Linked DNA regions of Canis lupus familiaris. The protein of the gene in region 1 purifies or fractionates together with the protein of each later gene. This does not show direct contact. Links are inferred from orthologs where the notes say so. Each region holds a gene or a part of one and is shown on either strand. Other genes may lie near its edges.

The links.
Region 2: the proteins of BOD1L1 (region 1) and SETD1A purify together in Homo sapiens (affinity purification with mass spectrometry; 3 studies listed by BioGRID and IntAct, with this or other methods). This does not show direct contact. The link is inferred for Canis lupus familiaris from reciprocal best matches to the Homo sapiens genes BOD1L1 and SETD1A.
Region 3: the proteins of BOD1L1 (region 1) and CXXC1 purify together in Homo sapiens (affinity purification with mass spectrometry; 5 studies listed by BioGRID and IntAct, counting the BioPlex papers as one, with this or other methods). This does not show direct contact. The link is inferred for Canis lupus familiaris from reciprocal best matches to the Homo sapiens genes BOD1L1 and CXXC1.

Annotation. Positions count from the first base shown.
Region 1 is NC_049224.1:67,061,852-67,065,508, reverse strand, and holds the end of BOD1L1 (biorientation of chromosomes in cell division protein 1-like 1), read right to left. Parts: intron 1,800-3,657; coding exon 1,682-1,799; 3' UTR 515-1,681; downstream 1-514. UniProt on the Homo sapiens protein: Component of the fork protection machinery required to protect stalled/damaged replication forks from uncontrolled DNA2-dependent resection.
Region 2 is NC_049227.1:17,386,226-17,389,607, reverse strand, and holds the end of SETD1A (histone-lysine N-methyltransferase SETD1A), read left to right. Parts: intron 1-164; coding exon 165-284; intron 285-1,877; coding exon 1,878-2,015; intron 2,016-2,114; coding exon 2,115-2,288; 3' UTR 2,289-2,872; downstream 2,873-3,382. UniProt on the Homo sapiens protein: Histone methyltransferase that catalyzes methyl group transfer from S-adenosyl-L-methionine to the epsilon-amino group of 'Lys-4' of histone H3 (H3K4) via a non-processive mechanism.
Region 3 is NC_049228.1:78,687,140-78,690,734, forward strand, and holds the end of CXXC1 (CXXC-type zinc finger protein 1), read left to right. Parts: intron 1-54; coding exon 55-81; intron 82-158; coding exon 159-404; intron 405-571; coding exon 572-679; intron 680-855; coding exon 856-1,040; intron 1,041-1,311; coding exon 1,312-1,519; intron 1,520-1,598; coding exon 1,599-1,709; intron 1,710-1,836; coding exon 1,837-1,886; intron 1,887-2,029; coding exon 2,030-2,126; intron 2,127-2,405; coding exon 2,406-2,558; intron 2,559-2,642; coding exon 2,643-2,789; 3' UTR 2,790-3,085; downstream 3,086-3,595. UniProt on the Homo sapiens protein: Transcriptional activator that exhibits a unique DNA binding specificity for CpG unmethylated motifs with a preference for CpGG.

The DNA.
Region 1 (3,657 bases):
AACTATTTAGTCCCTGTGAGGTCATGCCCACAGCGGGCGTGACTAGACTGAATACACTGGTTTCCCATGGAGAACACATTTTCAGGTGTGCATTTTGGTAAACCAATCTACAACTCACAATGCAGACTGTTGTTGGTCAAGGACTTTAGAGCTTTGGAACCTACTCTGGCTTCTTCCCTTGACTAACTTTAGGGAAAATCACTTTAGCTTTCCCGGTTTTGGTTAAATTCATCTTGTTCCTTGTCTCCGAGGTCCTTTCCAGATCCAACATTCAATTCTACTGAGACACCATCACTGACTCATATTTGAAAGTGAAAATGGAACAGCATTTCTAACACCAAGTATTTGGAGAGAGGAAGTAGTTTTCACAGAGAGAAAACTTAAAATACAGAAAAAAAATTCTTACCACTCAAGTTTTGGAAACATTTTATAATTTATATATAAAATCTTGTAAGAAACCATGTAAAATGACAGAAATATCCACCTTACATTAAGAGTCAAAAAAAAATTCACACACACTGAATGTAAATTTTAATTATAAAACAATATGAACAAAACATTTTAAAATAATCTCAATTATTTGGCAACTCATCACATCATTGCTAGAGACAAATTTGATCTTAAGAAAAATTTAATCTTATGAAAAACTTAAGTTGGACAGTTTGTTCGTATGGGAGTTAAAATATGTTTAAAAAAGAAATCCGGCAATAAAGCCAGTTTCTATCATGAAATAATTGTGTATAAAACAACATAAAGTCTTGAAGCTCAGTAGACAGGAGTGACCTAATCTCAATGCATTTCTCTTCACTGAAAAGGACAACATGGAAAGAGAACGAGTAGAGGCCTCGGAACAGCACAGAGGGAGGGATGAACACCGACAGAGGCGTTTTTGCTGCAGGTGACAGGATGTAACTTTACCTGAACCAGAACCTCTCACGCCAGTGGGGCTGGAAGTAAAGTCACAGATGCGAGCATAATCTAAAATCAAGTTACATTCTTAAAAAAGTCACAACTGTGAACAGGGAAGCAATGCAGACCCTTTCTTGAGCTAAACTACTTCACTTGGATACATGCGAGAAGATCCTGTATTTCCTGCCAGACCATAGAGAGTTACAAGGCAGGCAGCATCCTAAAACGTTTCTACTAATGACTGCATAGCATTTAAAACCCTTTTTTTATTAAAAAAAAAATAATAAAATAAAATAAACAGATATATAGTAAAGTTCACAGATAAGTTTTCTCTGTAAAATAAATAAAGTGTTCATTGATTAGCATCATACATAGAGTAAAATACAACCTATTTTTACATGTTTATATACTGTACACAGATTACCAGTAGGCAGCCTGGTGTCTGATAGGCTGGAAGGGTTTGCATTAGTGATGTGTCACATCGGGAAATCCCAATTTCAGATGTTAAAATATACAACTACTTTGTTTTGAGTTCAGATACAAAGTAAACTTATTTTCCTTTATCTGAAATAAATGTACATAATATCTTCTATGAACAATAGTTTATAAAGCTGTTTAAAACAGAACAAGAAAAAGCTTGCACCTAGGAACTTACAGCACATGCATGTCCTTTCCCTGGTTAAAAAAAAAAAAGCTTCTGGCCCCAGGCTTATTCTCTCCTCTCGCCTGTGTCTCCAACACGCCAGGGGCATGGTGGTGGTGGTGGCCAGGATTACCGCTTGGCCTTCTTCGAAGGGGCTTCTTCCACCCTCTGCTGGCCTCTAGTCCGGGCTCCGGGGGGGCTGGCTTCCCTCTTGCGCTTGCTGGAAGGGGAGAGCTGGGCCTTCGATCTGCAGTAAACAAAAGTCAAGGCAGTGGTGAGAGCTGACAGGAGTGGCTTCCATAATTTGGGAGTTCTTTAAAAAAGGGAAGAATTTTGAACTTGAGAGCTGAGAGAAAACCCAGGTCATGTTTATATAGGAAGAGGAGACTCTAGAAGAGCAGTGCTAACTGGTTATGTGCAACCAGCCCCACATCCACAGGGCACAACAGGAAGAGCTTGGAGACCCGCACTCTGGTTCTGGCCCGGTCACACTCCCAGGGCCAGCCTGGCTCAAATCTGCCTTCTTCTCTGGGTCCTAGTTCTTCGAGCTAGAAAACAGTTAACAGGGCAGCCCAGATGGCTCAGCGGTTTAGTGCTGCCTTCAGCTCAGGGTGTGATCGTGGAGACCAGGGATCGAGTCCCACGTCGGGCTCCCTGCATGGAGCCTGCTTCTCCCTCTGTGTCTCTGCCTCTCTCTCTCTTTGTGTGTCTCTAATGAATAAATAAAATCTTTATCAAAAACAAAACAAAACAAAACAAAACAATTAACAGCCAGTCCTTCACGCACTGCCCCAAGTCGAGGCTACTGAGAAGGAGCACAGCAGGATGGGGGACTCCATCTGGGCGGGTGCCCAATCCCATCTCATTGGCCAATACAACTGAGGAGAGGCAGCAGTGTTAAAAAGGCAGGGGAACTTCAGAGGAGCATTCTGGCCAATCACCCTGCCCCTAGCCCATCCCCGTTCTCCCATCTGCCAGCAGAATTATCTGTCAGAAATCCCAATGAATCATGTCACTGTCCTGTTTATCTGTTACACATATATTCCTCGTAACTCTCTGATGCTTTCAGGATAAAGTCATCCCAAGATTTCACAAAGTCCTTTATAATTTGCCCTGACTTCTGCACCACGCTGGATTGGTCCTGCCAATCCCGAACACATGACATTCTTTCACATTTTTATGCTTTGACATGGGAGTTTTTGGAGAATCACCCCACACCTCCCACCTAGCAAACACCCTTGTCTTTAAGCTCCAGTTCAAAAGCAACTCCTCCTTATGGGAAACCTTCCTCATCATGGAGCAAGCCACTCTCTGGAAATCCCATGGCACTTTGTGTCTCCACCACAGCACTTACCACTGTGATTTACCTGTTGATTTTTTCCAACTGTAGGCTACAGTCATTATTTTAAAACAATTCTCAAAGAGACCACAATAGTAAATACCATTGGTATGACTTCTATTAAATTTGGTTTATGAGAATTATGTTGCAGTGACAGCGGCAGCATGTGAGCACTGGATGTACTCCAAGATATAGTTTTAGCCAGGTGGTGCCAAAAAAGCTTCCAAGTCATGTACACATGTCTCCCCTGCTAGAATGCTTCTCCTCTTCCTCTCCCTAGTACCTAGCACCAAGGCACACGTCGCCAAGCTGCCATGGTTCTATCTATGAAGGAAAAGACCTGGAAAATCAAAATTGCAGGAGATGGTCCGATGGGGCTGCATGGATAAGATGTTTTGCTTGTCTTGCTTATTGTTCCTTTGAGAGCACAAGTAAATAAACCCAAACCAGGTCACACACTCTTGTACAGGACACAGTTCCAGCATATACACCTGTGCGGAGAATGGCCAAAAAGCAGTGCTTGTTGATCTCCCATTTTAGGCCGAGTCAGGGAAAGCCACTGGCCGCTGGGTGAGAACCTACCAACTGAGCAGTTGGCATGCCAGCCCTGTGCTAGATGCCACGTAGCAGGGACAGCGGCTTTGAGTCAGAGTGCTTCTTCCCGGCCGTGTGAGCCCCCTCCTGCACCCGAGGTGCGGTCTGACCACTGGCACCAGCATCACGTGGGAGCTATTAGATATGCAGACTCTCAGGCCCCATCCCAGAC
Region 2 (3,382 bases), on another chromosome or scaffold:
AGGGGAAGAGAGGCCCGGTGGGCGGGCAGCATCATGCGGTCTCCTGGGGTTGGGCATGGAGGTGAGTGGCCGAAGCACACTTCTCCCCTTGGAGGACTGCAGCAAAGGCAAGGAGTTAGGTTGAGGGAGGCGCCCAGCAGCACAGCCTGCATTCTGCCCTCTAGTTCCGGAAGAAGAAACTCCGCTTTGGTCGCAGCCGGATCCACGAGTGGGGTCTGTTTGCCATGGAGCCCATTGCAGCTGACGAGATGGTCATCGAATACGTGGGTCAGAACATCCGCCAGGTAAGGCCCTGTACCTGGCTCCCAGTAAGATGGCAGCATAGCAGCTGGCATGAGAAACACCTCATCTCTGGATAAAGGTCCACATAACCTCGCAGTTCCAAGACATAGTTGGTGAAACCTGCCTGTGTTTCCTTCGACAGTTAGTGATGGGTCCTTGTAAACTAGGTGGTGACAATCCAGCAAGGAGGAAGGGCCAATATTCTCTCTGGCTATGAGGGTCTCATAGTTCAGTGGGGGAAGAGCCACTGCATAAAGAACTGCACCAAAGGATGATGTCTGGTTGATGGGGAAGAGGAAGCTTGGGGAGGCACAGGTGGTGGGGCACAATGACGTGTAAGCCGGGAGCTGAAGGATGATGACTCCCCAACTCAGAGGAGGGGAAGGGTGCTCCCAGCCACTGGACAGCATGTGCAGAGGTCTGGAGGCAGGATAGTCTCAGTAGGGCAAGGAAGTCAGGATGGCAAGATGGAAAAACCAGGACTGGTGGCCACCAAGAGAGGCAGGTGGAGGCCACACTTCGTGGACCTTAGGTGCTTAGAAGCTGTGTTGTTGAGCTGGGGCCAGTGATAAGGGGAGGGAAGCCATGGCCAAGTGCCCAGCAGTGACAGGCTTTGCAGTCAGTAGGCTCCCTCTGGCTGCAGTGTGAAGGGACAGCCAGAGGCGGGGACAAGTGGGGGTGCGGTCACAGAGATCCCAGCAGAGGCCCAGGGGACCCAGACTAGGCAGTGGCAGCCAAGGTAACAGGAGTCTGTGGGTCCAAGGCAGCTGGCAGCACTGAGCAGCAAGTTGGCTCTAGAGAGTAGGGGAGGGAAAGAGGGGAGGCCATTTCTTGGGCTGCTGGTGAGGGGGGTGAGGAGGAGAAGCAGCTGTGTGGTGGAGAGGAGTTCCAGTCAGGGCCTGTAAAGCTGCAGGGCCCCAGGGACATCTAGAAATTGACGCCTAGCAGCTCCATTGAGGTGGATTTTGGCTGGAGATGGAAGTTTGGGAGGAGGCCCCACCACTTATCTGGCAGTTGAAGCCCTGGAAGAGAATGAGATCACCCCAAGGAGAGAGCACAGAGGGTTTATCATGCCATGTTCTGGGAAATAGGAATCACTCCTCCTCACACAAGAATGTGGACCTTGAGGGCATCAAGTGGCAGCCTGGGGGTGCCTGTCTTGGACAGAGGGTCCTGGGAGAAGAGACGAATAGGGTTCGGGCCCCAAAATGACCATGTCACATCAGGAACCAGCATGGCTTCACAGGAGGCTGGGGGCTCCACCATGGGCCAGGCAGAGGCTCCAGGAGGAGCCAGTGGCTGCTGCTCAAGCCCACTGAGCCCGGCACATTTTCCTGAGATCCCCTTTGGGAGACTTAAAGTGGCAGCCAAAGGTGTCGGTGTGGGGGGAACCTTGAGGAGGGGGCCCTTGGAAGCAGGTGGTTGACTCCTTGGGTGGGTGGGAGCCAGAGGAGGAGCTGCTCACCAAGACAGGTCAATGTGCCACCCACCCCAGGGTGGTAGCTGGAAGGCCAAGCGGGTCCCCTTCACTGGGGCTGGTGGGGTCAGGCCCAGTCTGGCAGGAAGCTGACTGGGACGGCACCCCGTCCTACCAGATGGTGGCTGACATGCGGGAGAAGCGCTACGTGCAGGAGGGTATTGGCAGCAGCTACCTGTTCCGGGTAGACCATGACACCATCATCGACGCTACCAAGTGCGGCAACCTGGCGCGGTTCATCAACCACTGCTGCACGGTGCGCAGGGGGGTGGGGGAACGGGGTGGGAGGTGCTCAGGGTGGGGCGGAGACTCCAGGACCAAGGGCGTAAGCTCACATGGCCCTCCCCTCCTACAGCCCAACTGCTATGCCAAGGTGATCACCATCGAGTCCCAGAAGAAGATCGTGATTTACTCCAAGCAGCCGATTGGTGTGGACGAGGAGATCACGTACGACTACAAGTTCCCTCTGGAGGACAACAAGATCCCGTGTCTGTGCGGCACCGAGAGCTGCCGGGGCTCCCTCAACTGAGGTGGGGCGGGACCGGCGCCCGCGCCTCTATTTATTTCCCTGGGGTCTGGGGAGCCCTAAGCCCAGTGAGGGAGCCTCAGTCCCCGGAGGTAACTCCTGCCTCCCCTGTCGCCCCTGCCCACCCACCTCCTAACTTTTTTTTCTTTGCGGAGAAGAAGCTGTAAATGTTTTGTAGCTGCCAGCAGCTGTTTCCTGTGGAAACCTGGGGTGCCGGCCTGTACAGATCCTGTTCTTGGGGGGCTGCATAGCCCCCTTGCTTTGTGTTAATGGGGACTTCCCCTTTGTGCCCTGCGTGCACCCCTCCCCAGTTCAGGGGTCTCTAGGGGCAGCGGCCATGTTCTCCCCCTGGGGGGGGTGCCCTGTGCCCCCAGTCCTAGGGACTCCGTGCCTGGAACCCTGCCTCATCTTCTGTTCCTGCCAGACCCTGTGGGTCACCCTCCCACCCTGGTTCCTGGAAGCTTCTGCTCTGCCAGACCAGGATGATGGGGGGTGGGCCCTTCCTATTGGGCTGGATTGTACATATGTTAATAGCGCAAACCCAACGCCACATTTTTATAATTGTGATTAAACTTTATTGTACAAAAGTGCTTGGTCAGTATCTTTGGGGAAGAGTAGGTGGGTGGCGGGGGGTTGGGGGTTCAGGACAGAGGATTGGTTGCAAGTGAAGAGAAGGGGAAATGGGTGGCCTGCAGGTTGGGTGGGTAGACCTGCAGACTCAACCACCATTGCTCTGGGTCACCTATTAGTCTGGAATAGTCATCCAGAAATCCCCCACCAAGGTCAGCCAGAGCTGGGCCAAGGTCAGCCTCCCTTCCCTTCCCAGAACCACAGCCGCTGCTGGGCTTCTGGTATCTTGGGAAATCCAGCAAAGGGGAAGGATTGACGTCATGAGGTGGGAGTGAGGTCATCCCACCTGTCCCATCCTCTGCCCACCCAGCGTGTTCTGGCTTCCCCGGGCCGTATTCCCCAAGTTCTTTGCCGGAAGCAGACGCCCGCGGAGCGCAGAGTGGCCGCCAGGGGGCGCCCTATGGCAAGAGCTCAGGGGACGGAGGGGTGGAGGCTGGGCTGGTGTCTGTTCCTGGAATGGGCCAGGA
Region 3 (3,595 bases), on another chromosome or scaffold:
GGGCCACCCTCCATCCACCTGGGGCTGACCTGGGCCTTCCTCCTGCCGGCACAGGAATCGTACAAGTACTTCCCTTCCTCGGTGAGTCCAGCCCCCCAGGGCGGGGCGGGGCATGCGGGCAGGGCGGTCAGGGCCAGTCCTGAGATTCTGCCCTGCAGCTCTCGCCAGTGACGCCCTCAGAGTCCCTGCCACGGCCTCGCAGGCCACTGCCCACCCAGCAGCAGCCACAGCCATCACAGAAGCTGGGGCGCATCCGTGAGGACGAGGGGGCAGTGGCATCATCAGCAGTCAAGGAGCCACCGGAGGCTACGGCTACACCTGAGCCACTCTCAGATGAGGACCTACCACTGGATCCTGACCTGTACCAGGACTTCTGTGCAGGGGCCTTTGATGACCATGGCCTGGTGAGCAGCCAGAGCGTTCCATGGTGGAAGGGTGGAGGTCACAGAAGCGGAGTTTCCGTGGTGAGGAGAGCTGGAAGATAAGGCGGAGTATGGAAGGCTGATCTGGGAACTGAGTGGGTGGGGTGGTCATGGGCGGGCAGGTGGGTCAGCATGTGCCTCACTTGCAGCCCTGGATGAGCGACACAGAGGAGTCTCCATTCCTGGACCCTGCCCTACGGAAGAGAGCAGTGAAAGTGAAGCACGTAAAGCGTCGGGAGAAGAAATCCGAGAAGAAGGTGATGGAGAGGGTGAAATGGGTGTGAGAAGGCAGAGGGCAGGGAAGGTAGGGAGAGGCAAAGATCAGGAGCTGGGTGGGGCAAGAGCCAGAAGTGGTGGTGGGGGCAGCGGGACACAGGGAACTGGGGCTGACTTTAACTCCACCCTAACCTGACCTGACTGCTTCGTCCCTTAGAAGGAAGAGAGATATAAGCGGCATCGGCAGAAACAGAAGCACAAGGACAAATGGAAACACCCAGAGCGCGCCGACGCTAAGGATCCTGCATCACTACCGCAGTGCCTGGGACCTGGCTGTGTGCGCCCTGCCCAGCCCGGCTCCAAGTATTGCTCAGATGACTGTGGCATGAAGCTGGCAGCCAAGTAAGTCATTCCTGGAGAGCACAAGGGAGTCAGGGAGTACAGGGCAGGGCATGGCTAGAGCCTTCTGTGTGTCTTCTCATCAGCTACCTGCCTGCTGCTCAGTCCGTGGTGCACCCGTCTATCTGTCCCTCATCTGCTTGTCTACCATCCAGTCACTTACTTATTCTTTGGCCGTTTGGTCACCCATCTCTTCTGCCGTTCTTGGATCACCCCACTTGTCTTGTTCCTTGCCACTTTCCCTGCCTGCACCTAACCCCCTGCCTCCCTGCAGCCGCATCTACGAGATCCTCCCCCAGCGCATCCAGCAGTGGCAGCAGAGTCCCTGCATTGCTGAGGAGCACGGGAAGAAGCTGCTCGAACGTATTCGCCGTGAGCAGCAGAGTGCCCGTACCCGCCTTCAGGAGATGGAGCGCCGATTCCATGAACTTGAGGCCATCATTCTTCGTGCCAAGCAGCAGGCTGTCCGTGAGGATGAGGAGGTGAGTGAGCACAGGCCCAGCGGCCCTGGACCCAGTACCCGGTCCTGCCTGGCTTCATTGTTCCTTCCACTCCACACAGAGCAATGAGGGTGACAGTGATGACACGGACCTGCAGATCTTCTGCGTCTCCTGCGGGCACCCTATCAACCCACGTGTTGCCTTGCGCCACATGGAGCGCTGCTATGCCAAGGTCAGGGTGTCACCCTGAGGGGGACTGTCATTGGGTCGTGGGGGAACAGATGGGTTATCTGGGGGTTGTCTCGGGAGGGCATGCAGCACACATCCACAGTGCCCTCCGTTTGTGCTCATCCCTCTAGTATGAGAGCCAGACGTCCTTTGGGTCCATGTACCCCACACGCATTGAGGGGTGAGTGTGGGCGCTACGTGGAGTTAGAGCAGGGAGGTTAAGGCTGGGGTCAGAAGTGGCATGTTGGGGCAGAATGGGCCTGGGCAAGAACAGATGGGTCCCCCGCCTTTCTCCCCACTACCTTCTATCTTCTAAACCTCCAGAGCTACACGACTCTTCTGTGATGTCTACAACCCTCAGAGCAAGACATACTGTAAACGGCTCCAGGTGCTGTGCCCCGAGCACTCCCGGGACCCCAAAGTAAGGTTTGCTCTCAGTTCCTCCCATTCTGTCCTTTCTTCCTCCTCCCTGCCTCCCTTCCTCCTCCCTTGTGTCCTCCCCTCTCCTCCTTCCTTCCTTTTCCCTACTTGACCCCTTCCGTAACTCTCACTTTGCTTGCCTTATCACTCCTCGTTCCTCTCCTTTTTCCTCTCATCATCTCGTTTCTCCTTTTCCATTCCTCTGTACTCCCTGAACTCTCTTCATTCCTTCCTACCTTCCTCCACCCCCATTCATCCCTGACCCCCGATTTCCTTGCAGGTGCCAGCTGATGAGGTATGTGGGTGCCCTCTTGTACGTGATGTCTTTGAGCTCACGGGTGACTTCTGCCGCCTGCCCAAACGCCAGTGTAACCGCCATTACTGCTGGGAGAAGTTGCGGCGTGCTGAAGTGGACCTGGAGCGTGTGCGCGTGGTAGGTGTCCATGCTAAATGAGGCTGGAGTTCAGGTGGAGCTTCCGGAGCTCCTTCTCATGGCTCTTTTCTACTCCCCTCTCAGTGGTACAAGCTGGATGAGCTGTTTGAGCAGGAACGCAACGTTCGCACAGCCATGACTAACCGGGCAGGATTACTGGCCCTGATGCTGCACCAAACGATCCAGCATGACCCGCTCACTACCGACCTGCGCTCCAGTGCTGACCGCTGAGCCTCACTGGCCCAGAAGTCCTCACGCCCTGCATTCCAGGCCCGGGAGCTGCCCCGAATTCCCCGTTTGTCTGTTCTGCCATTCATCTGTTTCTCCAATGGTCCCTGAGTTTCTCCCTGTGCCCATCCACCATTTGACTACCCAGATGCCGTTATCAGAGGGTCTCAGGATTTTCTTCTGTCCTTGTCTGTCCCTCTGTCTCTCCATTCTCTGTGCCTGGGTGGGACTGTGGAGTTTGCTCACTGTTGCCTCACCTCTCCCTGGTTTTGTTAATAAAATTTTGAAGAACCAACAGAGATTACTACTGGTTTCCACTTTATCCAGCTGCATCTGCACTCCCAAACCCCCTGGGTGAAAGGGCTGAGGCACACCTGTATTCAGGAGGAGTTGCAGTATAGAGCTTCGAGTATGCAGTTGGCAACCACCCTCTGCTCTGCAGGAGCTCCCTTGGGCAGCGGACTATGACTTACTAAGGGAGAGCCCAATGACGTACATCCTCAGCATTTCATCTTGAAACAACGGGTATACAGTTGGCGCTATTTCATTATGTGGCTGATTTCCCCCGTGACACCCCCGTGTCAGCATCGACATCCTCCAGATTAGACACGTATTCGCTGACGGCCACAAGGTCTCTCGTTGCCCCACAAACCCCTTTCCGGGCACGTGTGTAACAGAAGTCCGAGAGCCCCCTCCGCCCGGTCGCGGGGCCCAGCGGGGCCCACAGCGCAGCCTCTCTAGGGCGCGCACGCCCTTCTCGGTGGCACGGCCCTTCTGTTTACCTGCAGCGCGGCACCGCCCCCTTCGCC